Linked DNA regions of Nothobranchius furzeri. The protein of the gene in region 5 purifies or fractionates together with the protein of the main gene of each other region. This does not show direct contact. Links are inferred from orthologs where the notes say so. Each region holds a gene or a part of one and is shown on either strand. Other genes may lie near its edges.

The links.
Region 1: the proteins of pabpc4 (region 5) and larp1 purify together in Homo sapiens (affinity purification with mass spectrometry; 3 studies listed by BioGRID and IntAct, with this or other methods). This does not show direct contact. The link is inferred for Nothobranchius furzeri from reciprocal best matches to the Homo sapiens genes PABPC4 and LARP1.
Region 2: the proteins of pabpc4 (region 5) and paip1 purify together in Homo sapiens (co-immunoprecipitation; 3 studies listed by BioGRID and IntAct, with this or other methods). This does not show direct contact. The link is inferred for Nothobranchius furzeri from reciprocal best matches to the Homo sapiens genes PABPC4 and PAIP1.
Region 3: the proteins of pabpc4 (region 5) and g3bp1 purify together in Homo sapiens (affinity purification with mass spectrometry; 4 studies listed by BioGRID and IntAct, with this or other methods). This does not show direct contact. The link is inferred for Nothobranchius furzeri from reciprocal best matches to the Homo sapiens genes PABPC4 and G3BP1.
Region 4: the proteins of pabpc4 (region 5) and mkrn1 purify together in Homo sapiens (affinity purification with mass spectrometry; 3 studies listed by BioGRID and IntAct, with this or other methods). This does not show direct contact. The link is inferred for Nothobranchius furzeri from reciprocal best matches to the Homo sapiens genes PABPC4 and MKRN1.

The regions. Positions count from the first base shown.
Region 1 is NC_091750.1:54,243,629-54,249,035, forward strand, and holds the end of larp1 (la-related protein 1), read left to right. Parts: intron 1-449; coding exon 450-594; intron 595-675; coding exon 676-850; intron 851-921; coding exon 922-1,088; intron 1,089-1,176; coding exon 1,177-1,272; intron 1,273-1,392; coding exon 1,393-1,719; intron 1,720-2,478; coding exon 2,479-2,602; intron 2,603-2,987; coding exon 2,988-3,193; intron 3,194-3,271; coding exon 3,272-3,378; intron 3,379-3,468; coding exon 3,469-3,626; intron 3,627-3,708; coding exon 3,709-3,853; intron 3,854-3,929; coding exon 3,930-4,039; intron 4,040-4,140; coding exon 4,141-4,268; intron 4,269-4,340; coding exon 4,341-4,544; 3' UTR 4,545-4,774; downstream 4,775-5,407. UniProt on the Homo sapiens protein: RNA-binding protein that regulates the translation of specific target mRNA species downstream of the mTORC1 complex, in function of growth signals and nutrient availability.
Region 2 is NC_091757.1:56,189,576-56,194,982, reverse strand, and holds part of paip1 (polyadenylate-binding protein-interacting protein 1), read right to left. Parts: intron 4,105-5,407; coding exon 3,968-4,104; intron 3,856-3,967; coding exon 3,658-3,855; intron 3,556-3,657; coding exon 3,443-3,555; intron 3,335-3,442; coding exon 3,223-3,334; intron 2,071-3,222; coding exon 1,945-2,070; intron 1,845-1,944; coding exon 1,738-1,844; intron 1-1,737. UniProt on the Homo sapiens protein: Acts as a coactivator in the regulation of translation initiation of poly(A)-containing mRNAs. Its stimulatory activity on translation is mediated via its action on PABPC1. Competes with PAIP2 for binding to PABPC1.
Region 3 is NC_091741.1:69,278,719-69,284,125, reverse strand, and holds part of g3bp1 (ras GTPase-activating protein-binding protein 1), read left to right. Parts: intron 1-86; coding exon 87-168; intron 169-1,016; coding exon 1,017-1,190; intron 1,191-1,260; coding exon 1,261-1,351; intron 1,352-4,719; coding exon 4,720-4,804; intron 4,805-5,002; coding exon 5,003-5,252; intron 5,253-5,336; coding exon 5,337-5,407. UniProt on the Homo sapiens protein: Protein involved in various processes, such as stress granule formation and innate immunity. Plays an essential role in stress granule formation.
Region 4 is NC_091741.1:64,131,172-64,135,724, forward strand, and holds the end of mkrn1 (probable E3 ubiquitin-protein ligase makorin-1), read left to right. Parts: intron 1-306; coding exon 307-530; intron 531-796; coding exon 797-1,011; intron 1,012-1,390; coding exon 1,391-1,501; intron 1,502-2,638; coding exon 2,639-2,783; intron 2,784-2,934; coding exon 2,935-3,147; 3' UTR 3,148-3,458; downstream 3,459-4,553. UniProt on the Homo sapiens protein: E3 ubiquitin ligase catalyzing the covalent attachment of ubiquitin moieties onto substrate proteins. These substrates include FILIP1, p53/TP53, CDKN1A and TERT.
Region 5 is NC_091758.1:35,793,222-35,798,349, forward strand, and holds the end of pabpc4 (polyadenylate-binding protein 4), read left to right. Parts: coding exon 1-119; intron 120-193; coding exon 194-289; intron 290-363; coding exon 364-633; intron 634-869; coding exon 870-960; intron 961-1,049; coding exon 1,050-1,148; intron 1,149-3,198; coding exon 3,199-3,329; intron 3,330-3,407; coding exon 3,408-3,498; intron 3,499-3,578; coding exon 3,579-3,709; intron 3,710-3,781; coding exon 3,782-3,880; 3' UTR 3,881-3,885; intron 3,886-3,955; 3' UTR 3,956-4,244; downstream 4,245-5,128.

The sequences.
Region 1 (5,407 bases), on a different chromosome or scaffold from region 5:
TAGTCAATAATTTGGCACTTTAATGCATCTTAGTTAAAATGAAAATATTCTACCTAAAACTGTCAGTGTTGCGCCCTCTTCAGGTAAAATACTCCGCACTACATTTTAATTTAAATCGGCCATTGCTATTGGCTAAGAGGTACCCTATGATGTTTCCTGGTACCATATGAGGGCACAGTGCCACTGAGCCTGTGTGTGTTTATTTGTTAGCAGCTCTGCCATCTGGATCTGCCCGGAAACAACTCCCTGTGGCGCATTTTTCAAACAGGAAATGGGAGTGGCTGCTAGGGGGTGACTTGCTCTTTAAGTAAAACTAGTCTTATCTGGAGCTGAAACCTGATCTTGTCCTGGTTTCTAATGTGATAAATTCTAAATTCATCCACAAATTCCTCGTTTTGTTTCATTGTGCATCAAATTCCCTCTGAATACCCCGCTTCTCACCCCTGTAGAGAGTATTATTTCAGTCTGGACAATCTGGAGCGGGACTTTTTCCTGCGGAGGAAGATGGATCAGGAGGGCTTCCTGCCCATCGGACTCATCGCCAGTTTCCACAGAGTTCAGGCGCTCACTACAGACGTCAACCTCATCATCGAGGTTAGCGGAGCTGGAGTTTGTTTTTATAGAACAGTAAAAAGAAACGCGTTTGGAAGCTGAACATTGATTATCTGCTGCCAGGCTTTAAAGGGCAGCAAAGAGGTGGAAATCATCGACATGAAGATCCGGCGGAAGGAAGACCCAGAGAAGTGGCCTCTTCCTGGTCTGATGATGCCCAACCACACGCACACCGACTTCTCCCAGCTCATCAACTGCCCCGAGTTTGTTCCCAGACAGATGTCTGAAGAGCGCAGAGGTGAGGAAGGTTCGTTGGGATTTCATGTTTCTAAAACATCAAACCAACCTGGGGTTTCGTCTCTTCTCCAGGGTCTCCCAGAGCCTCCACGCCAGTTCAACAACTGACCAAGACTGAACCAGATATCTCCAACCTCAAGACCATGCCCAAGGGCCTCTCCGCCAGTCTCCCTGATCTGGACTCCGAGTCCTGGATCGAGGTGAAGAAGAGGCCCAGACCCTCTCCAGCCAGACCGAAGGTGAGCTCCGAAAACCTTTGAAAACTTAGCAGAAGATTATCTTGTTGTGTTTGGTTCACCTCCACCGTTATTGTGCGACTCACATCAGGTCCCTGTGTTGCAGCAGAAAGAAAAGGACGAATCTCTTCGGTCTCTGGTTCCTCGGCCCGGCTCCTCTCCATCCCCTGTCGTCTCAGGAAATAAGGTGAGTGAGGAAATCATTTTCCCCTCTTCTGATCCAACGGTTTGAGGCGTTTTGTTATTTTTGTTTACAGATGCATGTCTACTGATTGTACGATGATGTGGTGTTATGTTGTCTGATTAGGACGGAGCAGAGCAGGACGAACCCGAGGAGCTGGACTTCATGTTCGATGAGGAGATGGAGCAGATAGACGGACGCCGCAACACCTTCACCGACTGGTCGGACGAGGAGACGGACGGTGAGCTGGACGACAACGACATCAACAAGATCCTGATTGTGACGCAGACGCCGCCCTACCTGAGAAAACATCCGGGGGGCGACCGCACCGGTCAGCACACATCGCGCGCCAAGCTGACCAGCGAGCTGGCCAAAGTCATCAACGACGGGCTCTTCTACTACGAGCAGGACCTGTGGGAAGACAACTTCGAGCCCGAGTACGCCACCATCAAGGTGAGGTTGCACTCTTTGATGACATCACCAGAACAGCAGGTGCTGGGCATGCTCTGGCGGTTTCTGTCTCACGTTTTGGAGACATTTCTGCACGAAACTGGAGGACGAGGAGATGCATTCAGTGGCAGCTGGAGCTGTTTCTGGATGTGGAATGGAAACACAAAGTAGTTTTTGTTTAGTTTTGTTGTCCTCGCTGCCTTTTTGTTGCATTGTGGTACCTTCACGTGTTCACCGGCACTCATCCAGCGCTGCGCGGAACAAAGGCAGTTTGTTTATAAATAAACCCCACATGGAAGGTCTCGGCCTGGGGATCGGAGCCGCCGGGTCGAGGAGGAAGAAAATGGAAGAGACTCGGAGTTTACCCGTCGCTGTGAGTCACATCTGATCAGGATCAGGGAGAGAAACCACCTGGGAGCTGTCCTTACCCTGAGCTTTAGATAAAGGGCTGTGTGTGTCTGTGGGTTTCTGAGTAGAAGTAGAAGCTGTGTGCGTGTGTGTGTGTGTGTGTGTGTGTGTGTGTGTGTGGGAACAGTTCGTGTCAGATATGAAGGTGAAGAGGGTGTTTCTGGCTGCTGTGCTTTGCTGCTGCGTCTCGGTCTCCAGACTGCTGCAGATGAGGTCTGATCATTTCACAGTGTTCATGCGAAAGCTTTTCTGGTTTAAACCAGTTCTACGTTAGTTTCTGTTCTAGTTACCGACAATCCCAGCAGTTTGCTCTGATGAAAATCACAATAACTTTTCTCAAATTTCTTTTTACAGCAAGAGGTGGAGAACTTCAAGAAGGTCCACCTGATCAGCCGTGAGGAGTTCGACTGTCTGACACCAGAACCTCCCGTTGACCCCAACCAGGAGGTCCCCCCCGGGCCGCCGCGGCCCCAACAGAGTAAGGACACGCGTGTTTGTGTAAACCTAAAGCCGCTTTAATCCAGCTTCATCTACCTGATGGTGCAACATGGAAAAGATTAAACTTCAAATGTTGATATTAATAAAGACAACCCAACTACTGTTGGGCAAGAAGAAACGATTAGTCAGACTGTTTTAGAGTCGATGGTTTTCCTTTATGAAGGTGAGTAAAAACTTGGAATGTTTCTTTTCTGAGGTCAGATGGCTGAGTTGAGTCTATTATGATCTAGTGGATAAAAACGGGATTGTTTCATTTGTTTTCCGTCTCTAAACACGTTGAAATGTGAAACTCAGACGGTTGTAATAGAATGAGCCGGCGGTTTTAGAGATTTAACTCCTGACTTTTCCTTCTGCGTCGTCTTCAGTTCCTACAGACGCTCTAGCCAACAAACTCTTTGGAGCCCCCGAACCCTCGTCTACAGCCCGCTCGCTCCCCACCACAGTGCCCGAGTCACCCAACTACCGCAGTGCCCGGACGCCCCGCACGCCTCGCACCCCTCACCGAAAAGACCCAACCATGACGCCACGCTTCTACCCGGTGGTGAAGGAAAGTCGTCCGGTTGACGCCAAGGTGAGGGGAAGCGGTTTGGTAAAGCGAGAGGTCTTATAGACTGACAGGAACGATAAACGCTTGTTGGGTTTGTTTCAGACGCCCAGAAAGAGGAAGACCCGGCACAGCTCAAACCCGCCGCTGGAGTGTCATGTTGGCTGGGTGATGGACTCGAGAGAACATCGCTCCCGCACCGCCTCCGTCAGGTGGGACGTCCATGTGCTGATGCTGCCGCTGATGTTTTCCTCCCAGTCTCGGATCTAACTGAACTCTTGCTCCTTGTGCCTCCCTCCCAGCTCTAACGCCAGCCCGTCAGAGGGCACCCCCGCCCTTAGCAACATCGGCTGCACCCCCCAGTCCCTCCCCAAGTTCCAGCACCCGTCGCACGAGCTGCTCAAGGAAAACGGCTTCACGCAACACGTTTACCACAAGTACCGGCGGCGCTGCCTCAACGGTACGTCGCCTCCTCACGGTTTATTCTACAGGAGTAATCCTTCATTGTGAGTAACCCCATCTCTGCTCTCCACCAATCACAGAGCGGAAGCGGCTTGGAATCGGCCAATCGCAGGAGATGAACACGCTCTTCCGCTTCTGGTCGTTTTTCTTGCGGGATCACTTCAACAGGAAGATGTACGAGGAGTTCAGACAGCTGGTGGTGGAGGACGGGAAAGAAGGTTACAGGTGAGGTGACGGCTTTGAGAACTTGTGTTTCTAAATTCTGATTGAAATTGATTCCTCGTGTGTTTGTGGGCGACAGGTACGGTTTAGAGTGCTTGTTCAGGTACTACAGCTACGGTCTGGAGAAGAAGTTCAGACCAGACATCTTTAAGGACTTCCAGGAGGAAACCGTCAAAGACTACGAAGCCGGTGAGGAAACATGAAGCGGATCATTCTGACAGTTTAGGCCTCCTAAACGAGCGTTTGTTGGTGAAAGTATATAAAACTGTGTTTGTGTCTGCTGATCTCAGGTCAGCTTTATGGACTGGAGAAGTTCTGGGCTTTCCTCAAATACTCCAAAGCCAAGACTTTGGAGATCGACCCGAAACTCCAGGAGCACCTGAGCAAGTTTAAACGACTGGAGGATTTCAGAATAGATGTAAGAGTTTTTGTTTTAATCCAGATTAAAGGTGAAATAAATTCTGATACTGATAATTATTGTTGTTTCCAGCCACCGATGGAGGAAGGAGGCCGGAAAAGACACGCGTCCAGTGGGGACGGTCGCCGTCGCCATCCCTCCCAGTCCTCCAGCCGACCTCACAGCCAGGCGAGCGGAGGCTCCGCCCCTGCCTCTAAGGATGTTGCCAAACCCCCCTCCCAGAAAGCCCCCGCCCACAGCGCTGATCCCACACCGGACGCCAAAGCTCTGAAATAACTGCTGCACCGATGCGCTGGCCCATTTGGATCGACTGCACCACGTCTTCAAATCACCGGTTCTTTCTGCGCCACCGGAGGGGGAGGAGCCTCCAGCTCTGCATCTGATGAAAACAAAAGCCACCTTCTCAAGTTTTATTAGATCCTTTGGAGTAATTTAGAACCTTAATTAGACAAATAAATCGTGAGGGAATAAAAAAAACACATCTTGAGCGGTCCGAGACTTTTATTTCCTGCTAAGTCGACTCCCCCTCCCTCCCCCTCGCTCTCTGATCTCCTGCTGGCTGAAAGATTTGGATTCCTCCTCAGACGTCGTGTTTCAGAATTCTTTAGCAGGAGGTGGTTGAACCGGACTGATCTGGAAGCTGAGCTGCTCCCGACGTTCAGCCGGACCAAAGTGGTTTCAACTGGGCGACCGACCTCTCCAGACCCGGGGCTCAAACAGAGAAATATTTGATTTCCTTTATGGCTGGATACCGAGGGGGAACTATGAAAGAATAAGTGACTTGTTTCAACCCCTCACTTTGGACAGATTATTGAAAGTTGCCTTATTTTGATGGTTTTACTGCTTCCAACTTGTGCCCGCCACCGTTCTGTCGATTGAACAGCATCAAAATCACCATTTGTCTCATCGGTTTCCACCTGAGGCCACTGGGTGGCGTTTTGTCTGCCAAATTGTCCTCCGCTTCCTTTCATCTTTGTCTGTGAACTGTCTTCCACGTGTCCTTTGATCTGTTATTGTGACGACTTGTAGCTTTGTGTGCTGAAAGCTGATGGAAGTTCATCACCGTTCCTCTACGACCCTTCAAAATAAAATAAAAAAAGGAAGTGGGACTTGACGACGACTTCCTTTTGGGTGCTTCT
Region 2 (5,407 bases), on a different chromosome or scaffold from region 5:
TGATACAGCAGAGGATTGGGAGAATGTCATGTGGTCAGATGAAACCAAAGTAAAACTTTTTGGTATAAACTCAACTCGTCGTGTTTGGAGGAAGAAGAATACTGAGTTGCATCCCAAGAACACCATACCTACTGTGAAGCATGGGGGCGGGAACATCATGCTTTGGGGCTGTTTTTCTGCTAAGGGGACAGGACGACTGATCCGTGTTAAGGACAGAATGAATGGGGCCATGTATCATGAGATTCTGAGCCAAAACCTCCTTCCATCAGTGAGAGCTCTGAAGATGAAACGTGGCTGGGTCTTCCAACACGACAATGATCCCAAACACACCGCCCGGGCAACAAAGGAGTGGCTCCATAAGAAGCATTTGAAAGTCCTGGAGTGGCCTAGCCAGTCTCCAGACCTCAACCCCATAGAAAATCTGTGGAGGGAGTTGAAAGTCCGTGTTGCTCGGCGACGGCCCCAAAACATCACTGCTCTCGAGAAGATCTGCATGGAGGAATGGGCCAAAATACCAGCTACTGTGTGTGCAAACCTGGTAAAGACCTATAGTAGTCGTTTGACCTCTGTTATTGCCAACAAAGGTTATGTTACAAAGTATTGAGTTGAATTGTTATTATTGACCAAATATTTATTTTCCACCCTGATTTACAAATAAATTCTTTAAAAATCCTGCCATGTGAATTCATGGATTTTTTTTCACATTCTGTCTCTCACAGTTGAAGTGTACCTATGATGTAAATTACTGACCTCTGTCATCATTTTAAGTGGGAGAACTTGCACAATCGGTGGCTGACTAAATACCTTTTTGCCCCACTGTAAGTGATGTTCTGTGCAGAAATTTATTAGACATAAAAAATGCTGCTTGTTCATAGATGACCAGGCTGGTGCAACAAACCTGAGCATTAGCTGCATGTAAGCTAAAGCCGGGCGTACATTGTGCGACTTCTTCACTTTTTTGAGCCGATTTTCCACTCGTACAAGAATCCAGAAGATCCGGGCGAGTTTTGCGCCGAGCGGTCGTGTAGTGTACAGGGGGTTACGAGAGGCGATTAACACCACGTGACCAGCTACAGATCAGCAATCGTGAGGTCGCACGGACTTCTGGTGTTTGATATTTCGCTCGTCCCTCGTGAGGGTATCGCACTGTTGAAGCAGCGCTGCGAGCAGCTGCGACCCAAAAAGTATCAGAACCGCTCACGGCGCTTGCGCAGTCCTGCATCAACGCCGCTCGCTCGCCATTTCCCTAATAACACACGCTGTTTGTTTTTATTTCTACACGTTTGTTTACTCACAAAGATCGTCAAGAAAGCGTGTTTGTCGTGTTCATGTCAAATTAAACTGATCACAAAACACAGATTTACTTTCTTTATTTCGTTTTCCTCATCCAACCCCCATAAATCCCTGTGTGTCCTCCTGCAGCACTCCCGAAGGACAACAGGCAAAACAAGACAAAAAAGTCTGACGTGTTGAGTAAAAACTGCTATTTTTAGCATATTTTTAGGGCCGACGTGTTGCTACCAGACGTACAGTGTGAGCAGTCAGGTCGCATCCGAGAACTGGGTCGTGCAGTGTGAGCACATGACTCGTGAGATCTGCCCTGCGAGGAAGTCGTACAGTTCGAGCTGAAGCTGAGTGCTACGAGTGAAAAAGTCGCACAGTGTCCACCCGGCTTTACAGGATAGGATCAAAGATCAGAAACAGCTTGGACTGACAGCTGGACACAGTGACACACACCTGCTGCAGGTAGCATCCAGAAGAACCGTTTCAATTCTTTGGATTAGTTTGTCCATATATGGTTTCCCCCCCTTTTTCCACGCATCATCCAAGACAGACCCAGTCAGCTGTAAACACAAAACACTCTGAGCTCCTCCTTAAATGTGAGCCGTGGCAGTAAAATCCCTGCAGAAACGATTCTAAACACGTCTGAGAGAATTTCGACACCTTGAGCAGTTTTACGGCGCAGATGAGATTCGCATCCACGGACACAGAAAGCAGACTGTCCAGCAGGTCCTTCAGAGCCGTGAGGAGGACGTCTGCTCGGTTTGGAGGTCCTTTGCTGCTTTTTATCTAGATTAAAGTAAAAAGCAGGTATTATAGTGGTGCAGCACACAAACACATGCGGGCAAAGTTCGTCTAGGTTTACAGATTAAAACATCTGGATTACAGATATTTTGAGAAAATCACTCATCTTTTAAACTAGACTCACTTAGCTTTTTATTAATGAGCGTGCACATAATAAAATACCAATTATTTGAAAAATAAAACCAAAAACTTTATTTTATTCACACTTTTTAACTCATTCACTGCCAGCCGTTTCCTGATCGCTAACGGCCTTCGCTGCCAGCGTTTCTCACCGTTTTTACTGTTTTTTTAAGAGTCACAGAACGTTGCGCGCTAGCATGATGTCGACGCCAAAACAACCTAAACAAGGAGGAGACTCACCTCTTACATCAGGAAGAAGCCGCGTGTTTCGAGCGTTATCCGTTCTTTCATAATCCGTTGTCGAATTGTGATCGGCAGACGCTTTTCCGGTTCGCGCCTCACTTTTTTTACAGGAACGGCCCAAAACGATCTCCAAACACATGGATGGTCTGCTTCCTGATCATGTGATCTGTGACGTATGCGGATGAAGATCGGCTTCAGGGCTGAGATGTTTGTTCTCTCAGCGCGGGGGCTCGTTCTGATGCTCAAACAGTAAAAAAAATGCAAATGACGACTTTAGTCGTCAATGGCAGTGAATGAGTTAATAAACTGTCTTATTTCAGGAAGATTTGACTCCACATTTGACACATTTTAAGGATATAAACAAAACCTGCCGGCACTCAAACCAGTTTCCTACCGTACACATTTGGTGCATTTTGCAATAAAAATCCAACAAAACGACTGAAACTGGGAGTTTAAGAAAAAAAAGTGCAAAAAATAGTTTGATGCAACTAAACAATAATACAAATTATTTAAATTTTTTACCATGCTGTAGTTCTTTTTTTAAACACAGAGCAGTTTTGTTTACCTGTTTTCCCGCAGATACGACACAGCAAGAACACACCTAAGATGTTTAATTTTATTTATTTTTTTTAAAATGCAGTAATACTTTTTACACTGACAGTTTATATTCTTTTGCCAAATTCTTCCAAATAAAAATGAGATCAGGTGCATTTTTACATGAGAAAGTCTGTTTAAAAAGAGAATTTTACATGCAAACGATAAATAACGTTTTACCTCCAGGTGCAGGTAGAGCTCCCCCAGAAACAACACAAAGGAGTGGAACTTCTTCTGGATATCTGGCTCTCCTCCAACAACTGCATCCCTTTTCCCATACTCCGTGTGACATCTACAACAGACAACAATCCCATCTTAACCAATCCATTTTCATTTGTAAAATATTCTAAAGTCGATTTAGGAAAATGCCACAAGTAACACATCTCGTCCTTTCGATTACCGTTGCAGGAGCAGCTGACGGAAGCTGCCACTTGGTGAGGTGTAGGTGAGGTGATGGGAAAGGTAGTTGCAGAGTCTGGCCCCGGTGTAGGAGAAGTTAGGGATAGAAGTGGACTGCAATGACGACACAAAAGTTTCAGCTTCCCCACAATATGGGTTTACTCTATTTGATCAATTTAAATGTGAATTTCTAAAAAACGACAACTGTTACCAAACCTGTGTGAAGATCAGTTCCACCAGCTCCTTCAGCAGCTCCTCAGTGATAACACAGGAATTGAGAATACTAGCTATGTGCTCCACGTCAACCTCAAAGGAGCCCGGGGAGGAGCTCAGGTGACCGAGAAACTCTGTGACCATTTCAGCCAATGAGAAGTCGGGGAAATAGCTTTCACTGTCATCATAATAAGCGGGTTGCTATAAAGAATAGAAAAAGGGAAATGCACATGAAAAATGTCATTAGCAGAGACTTTGAGGTGATATAAAATTGTGTAACTGGGTTGAGCACTGATGTGACAACCCATCTTACTTCATTTGCGCTCGATCCAAAGGGAACAAACTCTGGAGCATTCGCCGACAGCGTTGATGACTTGACCAAGAAATCAGCCGAATTACGTCCTCCAGACAGAGACGCATAGTTGAAGCTCACGCTTTGTTGGGAATAGCCTTGTTTGACAACCAGAAAGTAAAGAAAAAAAAAAAACAAGTATTCAGGCTTGTTATGACGAACATAAATACTTTAAAATGCTTTTTATCTGCTCTGACAAAGACAACAAGTGTTCCTAAACTAAACCCTAGGTACCGGGAATTAGTGCCGAATCGATTCAAATGTCAAAGGTGCCCATCCCTGTCATATAAGGATGCTTTATATATATATATATATATATATATATATATATATATATATACATGTTCTAAATAAAAGAGACAGATTATTATGCTGCAGCCGCCATTGTTGACCCCACCCCCTCCGCAAGACCAGAACTTCCAACATCACAACACTTGGTCTGACTGAGCGCTTCCAGGAGAAATAACAATTAAATTATGAAAATAATAATGAGTGTTTGGAGGAGCATCCTCCGATCGTCTCTCTTGTGTGAGCAGTGTCCCTCTCTCTCTCAGTCGCTGATCGAGCGAGCGGAGCGCGCCGCATGACAACCTGCTCAGTTAACATAATTCACGGCCCAAATCCAACAGAACCGGTCGGGCTGATTTGGTTCCGGTTCGGTCTCAGGTTACAACTCCAGCGCTCAGCCCTGCAGTACCACATTAAGGCGGAACCACTTGGTAAATGTGGAGGACGCTCACTCTGACAGATTTGGATGGTGCGCTGGTGCCGCCGTTAAAAAAACAAAACTACATTCCACTATAATCGATTATGGCGTACTCTTCTACGATGCAGAATCGTTTATGTCCGCATCCCGATGCATCGATTATTTTCCTCAGCTCTAATGTGCGTAACGAATAAAATGCCAGTTCGTCTGCATGCGTCGGGGTAATTCTTTCTCCATCAAAATAAACGGTCAAATACGGGAACTATCCGGTCAACACAACACAAGCCCTGCTTTTGACTGTTTTGTTTTCTTGTGAAAATTGTTGGAAAGAGATAAAATTTAACTTGATCACCACCAGAGCCAGTGCACCGTTATCTCTGTGACGGTAAATGGGGGAAAAACAAATTGATCGGATCCTGCACGTCTTTTAACACATTGGTCAGGATTGACGCACTTTGTTTTCATTTAGTTGGTTAAAAAAAATTGGGCTTGAGTCGGGCCAGAGACTCCTGAAAACCTTTTCGGACCGGGTCGGGCTGGGGCTCCACCCCCTCGGGCCGGACACGAGCTCAGATTTTAGGCCCGTGCAGGGCTCTAATTGTCGGCTTCACCAAAACTGACAATGACGGGGCAGAGATGGCTCCACAGCAGAGGGGGAGCAGGAGGCAAAGAAAATAGCCTCCAGTTTGGAGCTG
Region 3 (5,407 bases), on a different chromosome or scaffold from region 5:
GTGGAGGGTTTGATTTTGAAGTTTAAATGGTTTTATGATAAATTGTTAAATATTTGTACAAACAACTAGTTTGTCTTTTTGTTCAGGTTTTACGGAAAGAACTCCTCCTATGTGCATGGTGGCCTGGACAGCAACGGCAAACCAGTAGAGGCGGTTTATGGACAATCTGTAAGTGGGCTTCACCCAGTTAGAGGCATTTTCCAGCGGCAATACTTGGTGCAACTCGGGAGGGTTCGGTTTGGTCTGATTGCTTTTGTCCAACGGCGCGTTTTGGTATTTTTCCCCTGCTTTCCCTCTACTTTTCAGTCCCTCTGTTTTGGTTCCAAGAGCTGAACCGGTATTTCGACTGTCGGCCACTGATTGGCTAGGGGGCGGAGTCACTGGTTGCTCCAGAGCCTTCTGTCTGCTGTCTGAAACCATAAAACTGAAGAGTGTTCAACATCACCTTTATTTTTGTGCAGAGTTGTTTCTGTGGAGCATGCAGGTCACCTCACAGTGTGTACTGATGACCTTGTGCTATTTTTGTCGCGTAAAGATCCCTGCACAAGCAAATGCTGTGGTCCCCCCCATCCGCTATGAGGGGTGCACCCACTTTTTGTCTCTGAGCAGGCAAGGAAAGCCAAGTACTCTGTGGTGAGCCGAGTTAACCCACGCTGCACTGAGCTGTTTTAGCCTGAGTAGTGCTGTTGGAAAAGGCCTGTTAGGTGTGTCTCATAGTCTCATGAATCTAGAATGTGAAATATTCATGAATATATTTTCTTTTCAAGAGTCATTGTTACACACTTGTTTTTTTCTTCCAGAAACTAAGTTTTCTAGGTAGTTTAACATTCTGATGAATGTTTATCAGTACTTTCTGATTTATTAATCCTCACGTAAATTGTTTTATTCTAATGCTTGTTAAAATAACCATTATCGCTCTTGTCATGTAGTTGGATAATTGAGAAATGATTGATTGCTGTTAAATGCCCAAATTAAATCTTCAGTTCGTTAAATCTTTTGAATTTTTTTTTTATCAGGAGATCCATAAAAGAGTGATGGCTTTGAGTTTCCGAGACTGCCACACTAAGATCAGACATGTGGACGCTCACGCTACTCTGAACGAAGGCGTGGTGGTGCAGGTGATGGGCGAGCTGTCTAATAACATGCAGCCCATGAGGAAGTTCATGCAGACCTTCGTTCTGGCACCAGAGGTTGGTATTAGATTATTAATATATTTTTTTCATTGATCTGATCAGTTTATTCACATGCATGTTTTTCCAGGGTACGGTGGCAAATAAATTCTACGTCCACAACGACGTGTTTCGTTACCAAGACGAGGTGTTTGGTGACTCTGACTCTGAGCCTCCAGAAGGTGAGAAACTGTTTTGTTTTATGACCTAAACATTTTTCTCTCTGAAATTGGTGTAATGTAGCAAGTTTAAAAGAGGTTTAAAAAACATTTTTTTAATATTTCTGTTCATAATCGGTCACTTTGGGTTTTTCAAGCAGGCTGAACATGAAAATAGTCTCCTACACCAATCTGCTGCATTAGCTTCTGACGGTGAAGCTCTAGGGTTAGAAAGTCCTTGACGTATCTGCGTCACACTGTCACTTGGCATTCATGGACTCCCTTCCAGTTTTCAATCCAGCGATCACATGTAGTTCAAGCAGAGCAAGAAACCAAAGAGGAAGAACTTTCATGCCAAAGCACAAAGGCAAAACGTGGAGCATTGTATCTTGTAAGTCCCTAAACAGCAATGGTAATTAAGATGGTTAATGGACAGTGTCAACCTTCTTTTATGTTTATAAAAACGTAACATTTAAAGCTAATATGAATATTTAGAATGGACTTTGGTGAGATTTGTTAATGACAAAGGTCAAGTTTGTGAACACAGAATTTGATAGTAAACAAGTAAAAATATTGCACACTCTGCCTTTAACATCCACCATTTTCCATTTTTTGAGATCTATAGAAACTGTATATTGATGGTTTACTGGAGCAGATTATTTGTAACAATGGTTAAACTGGTCCATGGGGATGGGTCTAAGGTAGAGAAATAATCCCTCTAAAACATTCATTTAAAATCAGTTTATTATTCCATTGATCAGGGTATCCGCGGCGTCTTAAAAGTCATGAATTTGATGAAAGGAAAATTAAGACCCTTAAATGTCTTAAATCGATTTAGTGAAGTCTTAAATTTGGTTGCTAACTTGAAAAAAATGTTGGCGAAAATTGCCGTTTATGAAACCAAATGCGTTCATGGGAATGAAAGACTTTTTGTTTTAGGGAAGGTGAGTCTGATCGGGTTTCAGTCGCTCTTTATAAGAATCTGTTTCAGAAAAATGAGGAGTGTTCATCTTCTTCACAAACCCATCTTTGTTAGTGGGTCACGAGTCGCCATTTGACCAATCACAGTCATTGACTACGTTTACATGCAGCCAATATCCGGGTTATGATCGGGTTAAGATAGGTATTCGGGTTTCTGAGTTGATCAGAATAACCCGTTTACAAGCATAAATAGAAAGAGTTACCCCTAACTTGCATAACCCGATTTAAATGCGGACATTGGGGTAGCATCAGGACGTATGGACTACGTCAAGACGCAATATCCGTCATTTCCGGTTCATTCTTTTCGGTTACCTTCTTGTATATTTCGCTGTCTCTGTACTTTTGGCCGTCAACAAAAGACAATGTTCATACTTTTCACCAGACCGATGAAGACAGAGGTTTCCTCATCACTCCAAAAGTGTGGTGCTGTGCCGCGACTCGCCATGTTGCTCCCAACTTGTTGTTTACCTCCGGTGTTCTGGCGCATACAAGATGTGTCGCTACTCAAAAGACCAAGATTCCTTGCGAACAGAGCATGCGCAGAACACACACTTTGATGGGGATATCCCGGTATGCGTTTACACGACCAAACATTCGGGTTAGAAAAGGGTTACCCCAGGTATAGTAACTGGGTTTTATAAAACCCGGTTATGAGCATGTCCAGGTTTTTGGCAGTGTTTACATGGACCTGCGGAACCGGGTTATTGTGAATATTCGGGTTTTTAAAGGGTTACTGGCTGCATGTAAACGCACTCACAGAGACAGCTAGGGAAAAACACAGCGGTAGCCGGTACCACGGCGCCGCTACTACTGTCGCTTCAACATCTGGCAGCGGCTGGGGCTTAAAGTTCGTACAATCATCAAAATCCCCTCCCAGATACCAGTTTTCTGTCCAGAACTTTTAGCAGGTTTGTCTCCTTGCAGTTTCAGCCTTCACTGATGTTTCCTGAGGCTTGTGTTCTTATTTTTTGGGAGGGGGAGGAGTTGAGTTCAAGTGTTGGTCAGAAACTGCTTTCCCAGGAATTAGACAGGTCCATCCTAACCTAAAGAAGATTCTGACAGACAAGCTGCTGCAATTGTTTTTTCAGATTTGTACAAGCTAAACCCTTTAGGCACGCCTTCCCTACATGTTATATAAGAGATTTGAAATCAAGAAGAAGAAAAACTTGCAAAACAGTATGGATCTGTTCTCAGTGAGATGTTTTTAGTGGAAAATGAACATAAATAGATCTAAAGATGTTACTGGTACTTTTACTATCATTCTGTTGTGGAAAGTCAGCACAAATATTCAGTGAAAACTTTAAAAAGCTGCTTAAACCTTCATTATTTTATAGTGGGCCTTTCTATATTTATAAAATCAGTTGATTGTTTAAAGTAACTGTAACTAAAGTTACTCAGAGCCACAGCAGAAGGTCCAGTCTGAGTTAAGCTGTGGTAGCTGCAGAGAAACTGAGAAACAACATTAAAGCTTTTGCTATTTGCTTGTTCAAGTTTAATTCAAATCGAACAAATAAGTCATCAATTATATATTATTTCTATGTATATTTAACAGTCATGCTGGAGATAAAAGGCAGAATAGATTAACATTTTAACTTTATCTGGTTACATTGAAGCTTCATGTCCCACAGTGAGCAGTCTGTCCCACATGTGGGGAGTTGGGATCTGGTCATCCTACTGAAGAATGATTACAGTAATTTGGAATATTTTCAGATGTTTTTATGTTTGGTGTTTTGTGAATTAGTTTCATAATAATAGTTAATTATTATATGATGATCCCTAATCATTATCTGATCAGTTCTGTTAGCTTATTATATTTAGCTTTCATGATTCGTAGGACTGGTAGAAAGTTGCTTGCATTTTGCAAAAACATCACATAAAAAATATATATATTTTTTAAATGTTCTCAATAAAATAAAAGTATATAAATGTCAGAGGTCACTACAAAACCCACTGTAGAATAGATGCACACCTGCAGCACGTGAGGACCTTGTTTGGGGGAGTTATTTTGTCACTTTTTTCACAGCCTTGGAGTTTGCGGGTATGAAAAATAGATGCATGTAAACTAAAAATAAATATATTTTGTTCGTCTATGCGTGCGGTTTGCATTTTTGTACCATGGGGCTTTCCATATTATTGCTACAGCCTCGCTGTCCCGGGTGGGACGTAACCCAACATGAAGTGGAAAACGAAGCGATGCAGTATTTAAAAACAATATATAAGTGTTTAACAGTTGATTAGTTCTTTGCGATAGACTTAATTTTATTTTTTACAAGGTCTTAAAAAGTCTTGAAAAGGTCTTAAGTTTAATTTTGAGATTCCTGCCTATACCCTGATAGATATGAATCCAGTTTTTTTTTCTTTAGTTGTACATTGCGTTGTTCATGAAATAGTTTTTACTGTTTTATTTTCAGAGTCTGAGGATGAGGAACCGGAGAGGGTCCCCTCACCTGACATCGCCCCCGAAGACTCCGCCCCCTTCTACGACCCAACCCCTTGGTACGGCTTTAACACCTTTTCAGAAGTTTACCGTTGTGTTTTCTACTAAAGTGCTTTAGCTTGATATTGCAGGCATTGTTGCCAAGTGCTAAAGAAAACTAAACAATTTAAGTTTTAATACTATTTAATGTAACTAATTATTACTACCTTGTCAGAGTTAGAAATGCTGTTGTTTTGACAAAACGGACCTGGTTACAGTTCAGACCCAGTGGCTCAAGGTGATGAGGAGGAAGCAGCTGCTGTGAGTCCAGAACCAGAACAGGAGACTGAGAAGGAGGTTGAGGCTGTTGAAGAGGAGCTCACGGCTGATGTGATGCAGGAGACTCGGACAGAAACGCACACAGCTGATGATCAGACAGAGAAAAGCTCCACCACCCCAGTCCCTCCAACTACAGAACCTTCCTCTGCACCTGCAGAACCTGCCCCCGCTGCCCCAGAAGAGAACAGGGTAGGTCTGAATACCTCAACAGCCTTTTAGCAAATTCAACCAGGAGCTCAAAGCAGTTGTTCTTCCATCTGGTCTTCCTAACAGCCTTTCTCCTGGGCATCGGTCACCAGTAAGAACCTCCCTCCCAGTGGGGCTGTCCCAGTCTCAGGAATCCC
Region 4 (4,553 bases), on a different chromosome or scaffold from region 5:
TCAGGGCAGCGCAAGTGGGAGGAGCAAATAATCGGCTTGTTTTGTTTTTTATAATCGTTCAAAACTCAGATCGTAATCGTGATTAAAATTCGATTAATTGAGCAGCCCTACTGAATACTCTGTGCTGAATTCAGCAAAGCAACTCATGTCAGTGGGTGGAGTATCAAAGGACTCAGTACACTTCCCTGAGGGACACCTGAAGGATATGGGAGACATGAATCAGAGACAGGAAATGCAGTTTTCCTTGTGGCTGAGGCAGTCAAACCTTTCCAGTTAGAGTTTTTATTGTTATTGTTTTGTGTGCAGCTGAGCCGGTGAAGCCGGAGAGTTCTGTCCCCGTCATTGAGGAGTTGGACAGCAGTTCATCCCAAGACAACAAAGACTTAAAGAAGCAACTCTGTCCATATGCCGCTGTTGGAGAGTGTCGCTATGGGATCAACTGTGCCTATCTCCACGGTGACGTATGTGACATGTGTGGCCTCCAGGTCCTCCATCCCTCTGACAACGCCCAGCGCTCAGAGCACACAAAGGTAACGAGCTTCAACCGTTTCAGCGCTTTCATTCTGTTTGATTAACTTCTGTTTATTTATAAAACACCAGTTCACACCCAGCATCACCCCAGAGTGATTTAGGCCATACATTTACAGTAAACTCAGTTCAGTTGTAGTAAAATGAGATTATAATCTGGATTGATGTGAGTCGTGGTAAAATCCATAATCCTGTTTATTCCAGTTTCCAGCTGTAAAACATGGCAGCGTACAAACATCTGCTGACAGGAACTCTTTTGTACTTGTAGGCGTGTATCGAAGCCCATGAGAAAGACATGGAGATCTCCTTTGCCATCCAGCGCAGTAAGGACATGATGTGCGGCGTGTGCATGGAGGTGGTGTTTGAGAAGTCCAACCCAAGTGAGCGTCGTTTCGGTATCCTGTCCAACTGCAGCCACTGTTACTGTCTAAAGTGCATCCGCAAGTGGAGGAGTGCCAAGCAGTTTGAGAGCAAAATAATCAAGTAAGTCCAACTTCCTCCCACCATACAGCTTGAAATGCTTTATGACGTGACACATTTATTCAGTCCATCCAAAGACCAGCACCTGGACCACAGAGCTGATGCAAACAGTTGAGTGTTACAGGCAGGTCATGAGCCAGCTTACCAGTAAGAAGTGGTCCCAGTAAGCGCTGCACCTTAGCTTCTACAGCTACTTCAGTTTGGCTAAAACTCGACAAAGCTCCATCAAAACACCACATCTTCTAGAAAATCCAGGAGACTGGAACCACTAAAGGGTGGAGATGTGGGCGACCTATCTGAAGGTGTCAAAGAAGACAGAACCTGAGCAGGTCCACTCTGGACAGACGACTTCTCTCACCACATATTCCCTTTGTGTTCGTAGGTCTTGTCCAGAGTGTCGCATCACATCCAATTTTGTCATTCCCAGTGAGTACTGGGTGGAGGACAAGGAGGACAAGATGAAACTCATCCAGAAGTACAAGGACGGCATGGGGTAGGCCCATAGAAACCTGTCTGAACTCCTCCTTCTCTTTAGAAAATTTAGAAAAATAGAGTATCCAATAAACCGCATGTTTTCACTAAGTATTTTACTTAAGACATTTTTAAATGTTTAAAGTTGTTGATTGTAAATAATTTTAAAACCATAAATATCATTTGAGCCGTTGAATCTTCTGATCCAACAACAGATCAGTTGGTTCTGAAGGTTTAGACCACAAGCAGGTTGTGGTGGTTCACACCAGATGCTCTGGACTTGGCTTTGGGTGTTCCATTCTATCTGGCTGTCAGCTAGGGGTGTGTTAGGCACGCTGTGTTGGCTTCCGCCTTCACCTGCCTAGTGAGATCGGAGTTCAAATCCCGGTCGGGTCATACCAAAGACTTTATAAAAATGGGACCCACCAGATGGTTCTGCCCGGTTCCTCCTGGCCGCTGTCCCCTTAGTTCAGTTATCTGATAAGGTTCCATTCAGGAACGTGTCCGGCTCATTCTGGTTCCACATGTTTTAGAGTTCTGTGGACAGAACCTGGGGACTGCCTAAGCTAAGCTAAACTAATCTCACTTTGTAGTCCAACTTAGTCGTGAGTTTCGGGTATCACAGAGGAGGATCTGTTTGAGTGTGGCTAGATCACCATGTTCCTAACAATCTGCAGGTATAGAAATGAGACAGAAAAATGACATCATCTAAACTCAGCTGTCATCTTCAGAACTTATCAACACAACAACTCTGCTGTGTCTGATATCAGACCTGGTTAATAAATCTGTAGCAGTGTCTCCTGATAGCTAACGCTAACTGTTGGCCAAATGACTCCTGCTCAGGTGAAGAGACTCAAACATGTAGAGACTGTTTATTTACTTCAGACGTTGAATAAAGAGACAGAAAACCAAGTTGATAAAATATGTCAGAATAAAATTTTAAATGTGGTTCATCAGAGATCTGGGTGCTTCTGTGGTCTGTGTTAGGTGAACCGGTCTATAAACCAGGACCTGATCAGCTTTGTGTTTCTAGTCTGCACTGTAGTACTTCTCAGAGAACCTGGCTGCTTGTGTCTGTGATGGGTCCAGACCAGTTTGAGTCCAGTCCGGACCTGAACAATGACATGAGTCTTACCTGCTGTGTGGTCTGTGTGTCCAGCACTAAGCCCTGTCGATACTTTGATGAAGGCCGTGGAACCTGTCCTTTTGGGTCTAACTGCTTCTACAAACATGCCTTCCCTGACGGCCGGCTGGAGGAGGCTCAGCCACAGCGCAGACAGCCTGGATCCAACAACAGGAACCGGGTAAAGAGCTCCAGAACCACTCTGATTGTAGTGGTGGAACATAGTGATGCTCTGCCATTAATAGCATTACAGCACCCCCTGGTGGGCCGCAGGTAGACAGTTCTTGCCTAGAAACACTGAATCATTGTGTGTGCGTGTGTGTTTGTTTCAGAGCTCCAGACGAACCCCTCTGTGGGACATCCTGGACGAGCGGGGCAGCACCGACTCCTTTGATAACGATGATGAGGAGATGGTGACTTTTGAGCTGAGCGAGATGCTCCTGATGCTGCTGGCAGCAGGAACCGACGACGAGGTGACAGACTCGGAGGACGAGTGGGACTTGTTTCACGAGGAGCTGGATGACTTCTACGAGATCTACCTATAGCCCCCTCCCTCCTCCAGTATATAAATATATATAAATATATAACATTATACAGTAGACAATAGAGTGAACTGTGTTGTGTGAGTGATGGACAGTAGCCCTGCCCCTCCCCCCTCTCATGTATTGTGGCAGTGCCTTTAAGCAGGCCATTATTAAATGAACTTCTAAAAGCTAAAGGACCCCACCTCCACCGCAGTGCACTCGTGCTAAACCCTTTCTAGACCTCGTCCTTGTGAGTCTCTCGTGTTTATGTTGATAAGAGTTGACCTACAATGAACTTGTTAAGATGTTGCTAATAAACATTGTGAAGTTTGTGGGTTGTTCTGCCGCACCGTTACTGTAGCTCACAGACCGGAACCCGGTCCAGGACATCTGTGCTGCTTCTGCAGGGTAGGGTTTATACGGTGAGCATGGACTGTCTGATTTATGGTGATCTAAATGTGCTCAGAACAATAAAGAGACAGGAAGCTGCAACACTGACATGTTAGCAGGCATGATCCAGAACCAGACTTGGACTCAGATTTGGGTCCTGTGTATCTCAGAACATTCACAACAGAATTGCTGGGGGGTGGGACTTCCTGTGGATTTTAATTCTATTCAGGCAGGGAGACGAAAACATGGAACACAGGACCAAGTCAGCCGTGAACCTCCCAGGAGGTGCGAATGGTCTGGTGTCATCAGCAACAAGGTTGTTGGAATGGGAACCCGTGCTTTGGGCCCCTAGCTAAGAACCTTGTTGGCTTGGGAACCTGATATTGGCCCCTGGTTTAAGGGCTCTAATGTGAGGGCTCTGGCATCATGGTTTTGTGGTCTTGGGTTTGCCACCTTGGCATCAGGGCCCTATAGCTTCAGGGCTGTGGACCCTGCCTCCATGCATAGCGGACATCTTGACAGAACCTTCTCATGTTTATCTGTTGTGAATACTGAGTGGATCCCACTTCTGTTCAGTTGAACCTTTACTGTCCAAGATCCTCTAGACCAAAACATGTCTTCAGATTAGGGTCCAATTAGGGATGGACAATATATCGGCATCAATATCGGTATCGGCCGATGTTAGTCATTTTTAAAAATATCAGTCCGATAGATAAAACCGGGCCTATATTAACAACCGATATTTTTTTCCATCTTGCTTCCATTTGTTTGCCTGTTTCAGAGGGTGAGGGGGTGATGTGTATTGGTTTAGTCATGTGACTAGTCACAGTGAATGAAATCATCTCAGAAGTGTAAATGTGTGTTTTGTGTGTACAAACTGTAAATTCAGCTTTAATAATGTTCATTTTATACAAAATCGGCTGATTTTGGAAGCATTAATGACAGTTTATCTGTTATCGGCCATAACGGTGACATTAATATCGGCCCAAAAATGTCATATCGTTGCATAACTAGGTCAGGTCCAATCCAGCTCCTGT
Region 5 (5,128 bases):
GCTCTGAACTTAACGGCAAGACCGTATTTGTGGGGAGGGCTCAGAAGAAAATGGAGCGTCAGGCGGAGCTGAAAAGGAGGTTTGAGCAGCTGAAACAGGAGAGAATCAGTCGCTACCAGGTGTGCAGGAATCAGTCCAAACAGACCTGTTTTCAATCTAACCATCAAAGAATAATATTCAGATTTTTTCTCAGGGAGTTAACCTTTACATCAAGAATCTGGATGACACCATCGATGATGAGAAACTACGTAAGGAGTTCTCTCCCTTTGGGTCCATTACAAGCGCTAAGGTGAGAAAAATATCGTCAACGAATTAAACTATAAAATAAAACATGAGTGTCATTTACTTTCCTTTGTTTTCTAGGTGATGCTAGAAGAAGGTCGTTCGAAGGGTTTTGGCTTTGTCTGCTTCTCTTCACCCGAGGAGGCCACCAAGGCGGTCACGGAGATGAACGGACGCATCGTTGGCTCCAAACCGCTCTACGTGGCTCTCGCTCAGCGCAAAGAGGAGCGCAAAGCCCACCTCACCAACCAGTACATGCAGCGCATCGCTGGCATGAGGGCCATGCCCGCTAACGCCATCATTAGCCAGTTCCAGCCTACCAGTGGCTACTTCATGCCAGCTGTGCCACAGGTGTGGGATTTCAAATCCGACTAATGATCAAATATCAACATTACCTTGCTTTTTTGGGGAATGGCATGTTAAACAGGAAATGTGATGGTCTAAATGTTTGGGTCGTAACGTGATAGTCAAAAACACTTTAAAGCTGGGGTACCTAGTTTAATTCATTTTAATGAGAGGCTAATCAGAGGTTTTCATATGTTTGTTATCATCCCGGTTATTTATTTGTCACTTTTTGTTCCCTTTAGGCCCAAAATAGGACGACATACTATGCTCCGAACCAGCTGGCCCAAATGCGACCCAACCCCAGGTGGCAGCAACAAGGTGGCAGAGGTCAAGGTGAGAACATCATTCCTGGTGTTGCATCTGCCAACGGCACTTTTAAAATGCGTAAATATTGAATTTGATGGGAGTTTCGTCACTTTCAGGTGGTTTCCAGGGAATGCCCAGCTCCCAGCTGCGTCAGCCTGGACCCCGTGCCAACCTAAGACACATGAGTCCCGGCGGTGGCTCTCAGGGCCCAAGAGGTGTGTTTGAGATTGAAAAATAATCTCGGCTCTCTCGGCCTCGGGGGGTGGACTACTGGCGGTTGTGAGTGGGGCCCCTTGGACATCTTGGCGGTGGCCATGGGTCACTGCCCTGCAGCTGCATTGCCCCTGGACGGGTCTGGGTGGGGGCCTGGGGGCTTGGGGTGTGGGGGCGGCCGGCCCCATGGGGCGATCTGGGCAGGGCCTTGGGGGTCAGGTCCTGACATGTATGCTGCCGGGGAGAAGGCAGGAACATGCAGCAGTGCCTGACTCGGGCTCAGGGCCCTCGGGTAGACCTTGGCTCCTCTGCTGTCCCATCACAGAGAAGGGGGAAGTCCAGGAGGTGGAGGACCCAACCTTACCTGGATGTCCTATGTCTTTTATAATCCGAAAGTTGTGCAAATGCAGGGATGGGCATAGATATTCTGCTGGAGTGGGGCTGGGTTGGTGCCCTCGGACTCCGTGAGGCTCTGTGGTGTTGCTGGCAGGATGGGCTGGGGTCTCCATGCTCTGGGTGGCATTTTGACAACAGAGGTGCCTATTGGGGCCAGTGGGGGAGCTGGCTCCCTGGAGGGCTAAGCCCAGCCAGCCATTCCTCCCCATCCCCACACATTTCTCTCCTCCTGCTCCCTCACATCATCACACAGTCATGCACATAGGACCTTGGGGGGTGGACAAGTCAGGGGGTATGGGTATGGACCCCATTTCCGCATTCCTGTGGCAACCTACCCCCCAATTTTATTTGCACTTCCACCAACAACATTCCACGCAAACACACACTTAGGGCCTTGGGAGTGAGCACATTCAACGGCATTTGGCAGGGGGATTTCTCAGCCTCATCCCAAGTGCCGGTGCCCACTTCCAATTTTAAACTGCACTTAAACACTGAGGGCTGTGGGTGCAAGTGGGGTGGTGTGGTGGTGTGGTGGCATCAGCTGGCATAGGCCAGACGATGCCCGCACTGCCCGCTCACCACAGCCATGGAATACACCTCATCAACACTCACTAACACCATATTGGAGCAGGCGGAGGGAGACTAGGGGTCTTAGCACACCTCTGTTGTCGCTTGGCTTCCTGGGGCTGGAGGCTAGGAGGGCGATCCGGCCGTCCAGTTGGGGTCTGGGGTGGTGGGTTGCTGTGCTCAACGTTGGGCGGGGGAGCCTGCTCATCAGCACCCCCAGCAGAAAGGGTCGAACTCTTGGAACCGGTAATGGTTGTACCCCATGTGCAGCAGTACTGGGACCAGAGTGAATAGGGTGTGCATGTGTGAGCATGAGGGAGGGAGTGTGTGACTGTGTTTGTGTATGACTGTATATGTCAGGTGGGGCCTTTGACTCCTCCCCTCTCCTGGGACTTCTTTTGATGATATAGATCTTCATCTCCCCTCTCTCTGCCACACCTGGTGTGGAGTGCAGTGCCTTGGTCTGCCTGGGTCATGGCTCCCGGGTCAGGGAGTTTAAGATTTTTGGCATCTGCCTGACCAATCCCAGTGGCTGCCTGGTGGGGTCTGGATCCCTGGGCTCTGCTGGAAGCTTGGAAGTGCCCTGAAAACCTCACCACGGAGGTGTCCAGGAGGCATCCTGACCAGATGCCCGAGCCACCTCAACTGGCTCCTCTTGACGTGGAGGAGCAGCGGATCTACTCCAAGCCCCTCCCGGATGACCGAGCTTCTCACCCTATCTCTAAGGGAGAGCCCAGGCACCCTGCGGAGAAAACTCATTTTGGCCGCTTTTATACGCGATCTCATTCTTTCGGTCACTCTTCAAAGCTTGTGACCACAGGTGAGGGTAGGAATGTAGATCGGCCGGTAAATCGAGAGCTTTGCCTTCCGGCTCAGCTCTCTCTTTACCACTACAGATCGGCACAACGACTGCATCACTGCAGACGCAGCACGAATCCACCTATCATTCTCACGCTCCAGCTTTCCCTCACTCGTGAACAAGACCCCGAGATACTTAAACTCCTCCACTTGAAGCTAAAACTTGAACTATTTTTCCTGCATCCCCCCAAAGCTCATGTTCACAGCTTTATTTCTTGTGTTCACTGACAGCAGCAAACCAGGGCATGGCTCCTCGTCCATCCATGGGAGTCTCCGGTCCCCGGGCCATGCCTCCTTACAAATACGCCACCGGTGTCCGTAACCCCAACCCCCAAGTGGTGCAACCTATTGCCTTACAGCAGGTATTATTTTACTGTCCTGTCTTGTAAAACACCCATTTCTGTAAATATTCTCTGAGGGATCCTATCTGTCCCATCCAGGCTCAGCCAGCTGTGCACGTTCAGGGCCAGGAGCCTCTCACGGCCTCCATGCTGGCTGCTGCACCTCCTCAGGAGCAGAAACAGATGCTAGGTTAAACTCAACTTTAAAATACAAGAGCTGGAATGATGTTTTGATCACTAGACTGATTTATAACTACTTCTTTTATACAGGAGAACGTTTGTTTCCACTGATTCAGAGCATGCACGCCAACCTGGCTGGAAAGATCACAGGCATGCTGCTGGAGATCGACAACTCAGAGCTGCTGCACATGCTGGAGTCACACGAATCTCTCCGTTCAAAGGTAGCTCATTGACCTCGCCATTTTGACTCCTGAAGCATCTCCTTTTGGTTGATTAGCGTCGTTCTTGTTCAGGTGGAGGAGGCCGTTGCTGTGCTGCAGGCCCACCAGGCGAAGAAAGAAGCCACGCAGAAAGCTGGCGGCATGACCACTGCTGCTGCTGCAACATCCTGAAAACTGTACGCTCTCTGTTGCTTATTAGATAAAACACCATTTTTTATTGCTAATCAGGTGATTGTGTTGTTTCAGGGTGGAGTAAACTGGGCAGAGATGAACATCACTACAGGGACTCCAAACACCCGAGTCCATTAAATGTGCAACAATTGAAAACAGGAAGTACTTTAGAAACATGTCACAGTGGAAACATTTTTAGTTCCTTCATATCTATAATATGCAAACAGAAATAATAGCATTTGCTCTACTTTGCTGCAAAGGAGAAAAACATCTTTGTTCTAAACTGCTTGAAAACTTCACATTTGCCTTCATGTGACATTTTCATGGTTGTGCGGTATTTTCAATAAAGGCTTGATGGATTGATTCCCAGTCTCTGTGTTTTAAATGCTACATGAAAAGATGTTTGTGAGCATCAGACACTATACCACTTCATTAGTCTACTCTGGATCAGGGTGGGGGGAAAGATTCTTACAAATGAGGCAATAATTTTAAGCTTTGATTCGCTAAATTGACTTTCTGACAAAAACAATGACTGATTCAACCAATGCATAAAGGACGAGTAAACGATGAATGCTGATTAACTTTTATCTATAAATATCAGTTAATTTGACTTCAATGTTTAATCAGATGTTGCTGACTAAACAACAGGAGCAGTGCTAAAAGTTAAATAAAATGGAACACTGCAACGATTTATAATTTACCACTTAAAAATACTTAAATGCAATTTATAAAATTATTTTTGTTTGATCCAAGGATTTCTTGACCACAATGTTACATTTTGCATCCCGCAGAGGGGTCCCAACCCAAATTTTGGCAACCATTTCATTTATTTCATTTGTTGCATGTTTTGTTTATATTTTATACCGTTTTAATGGTTTATATTTAGCTTTTTTATTGCATTTTGAATGTTAGTTTTATTCGTATCTATTTTTACACCTGATTGTTTTTTGGCAGGTACGTAATGTGCCGGGAAACACAGTTCCTGCACATATAACAATAAATCATTTGTTTTTGGTCATGAAATCTGAAAATATGGTAGGCCAAAAGGCCCAAACAAAATTTATTTGAAATTACACAATTAACGTGTAGAATTTTGTTCATTTCTTCACGCTGACTTACAGAATTAAACTATTATTTAACCTGAAGCTGAAAATAACGATGTTCAGTCATGATACTTTGGGTGGAGAAACTTTTTGACCACTAGAGGTCGGCAGAGTGAAGTAAATCCCGGAAGCGGCATATGCTAGA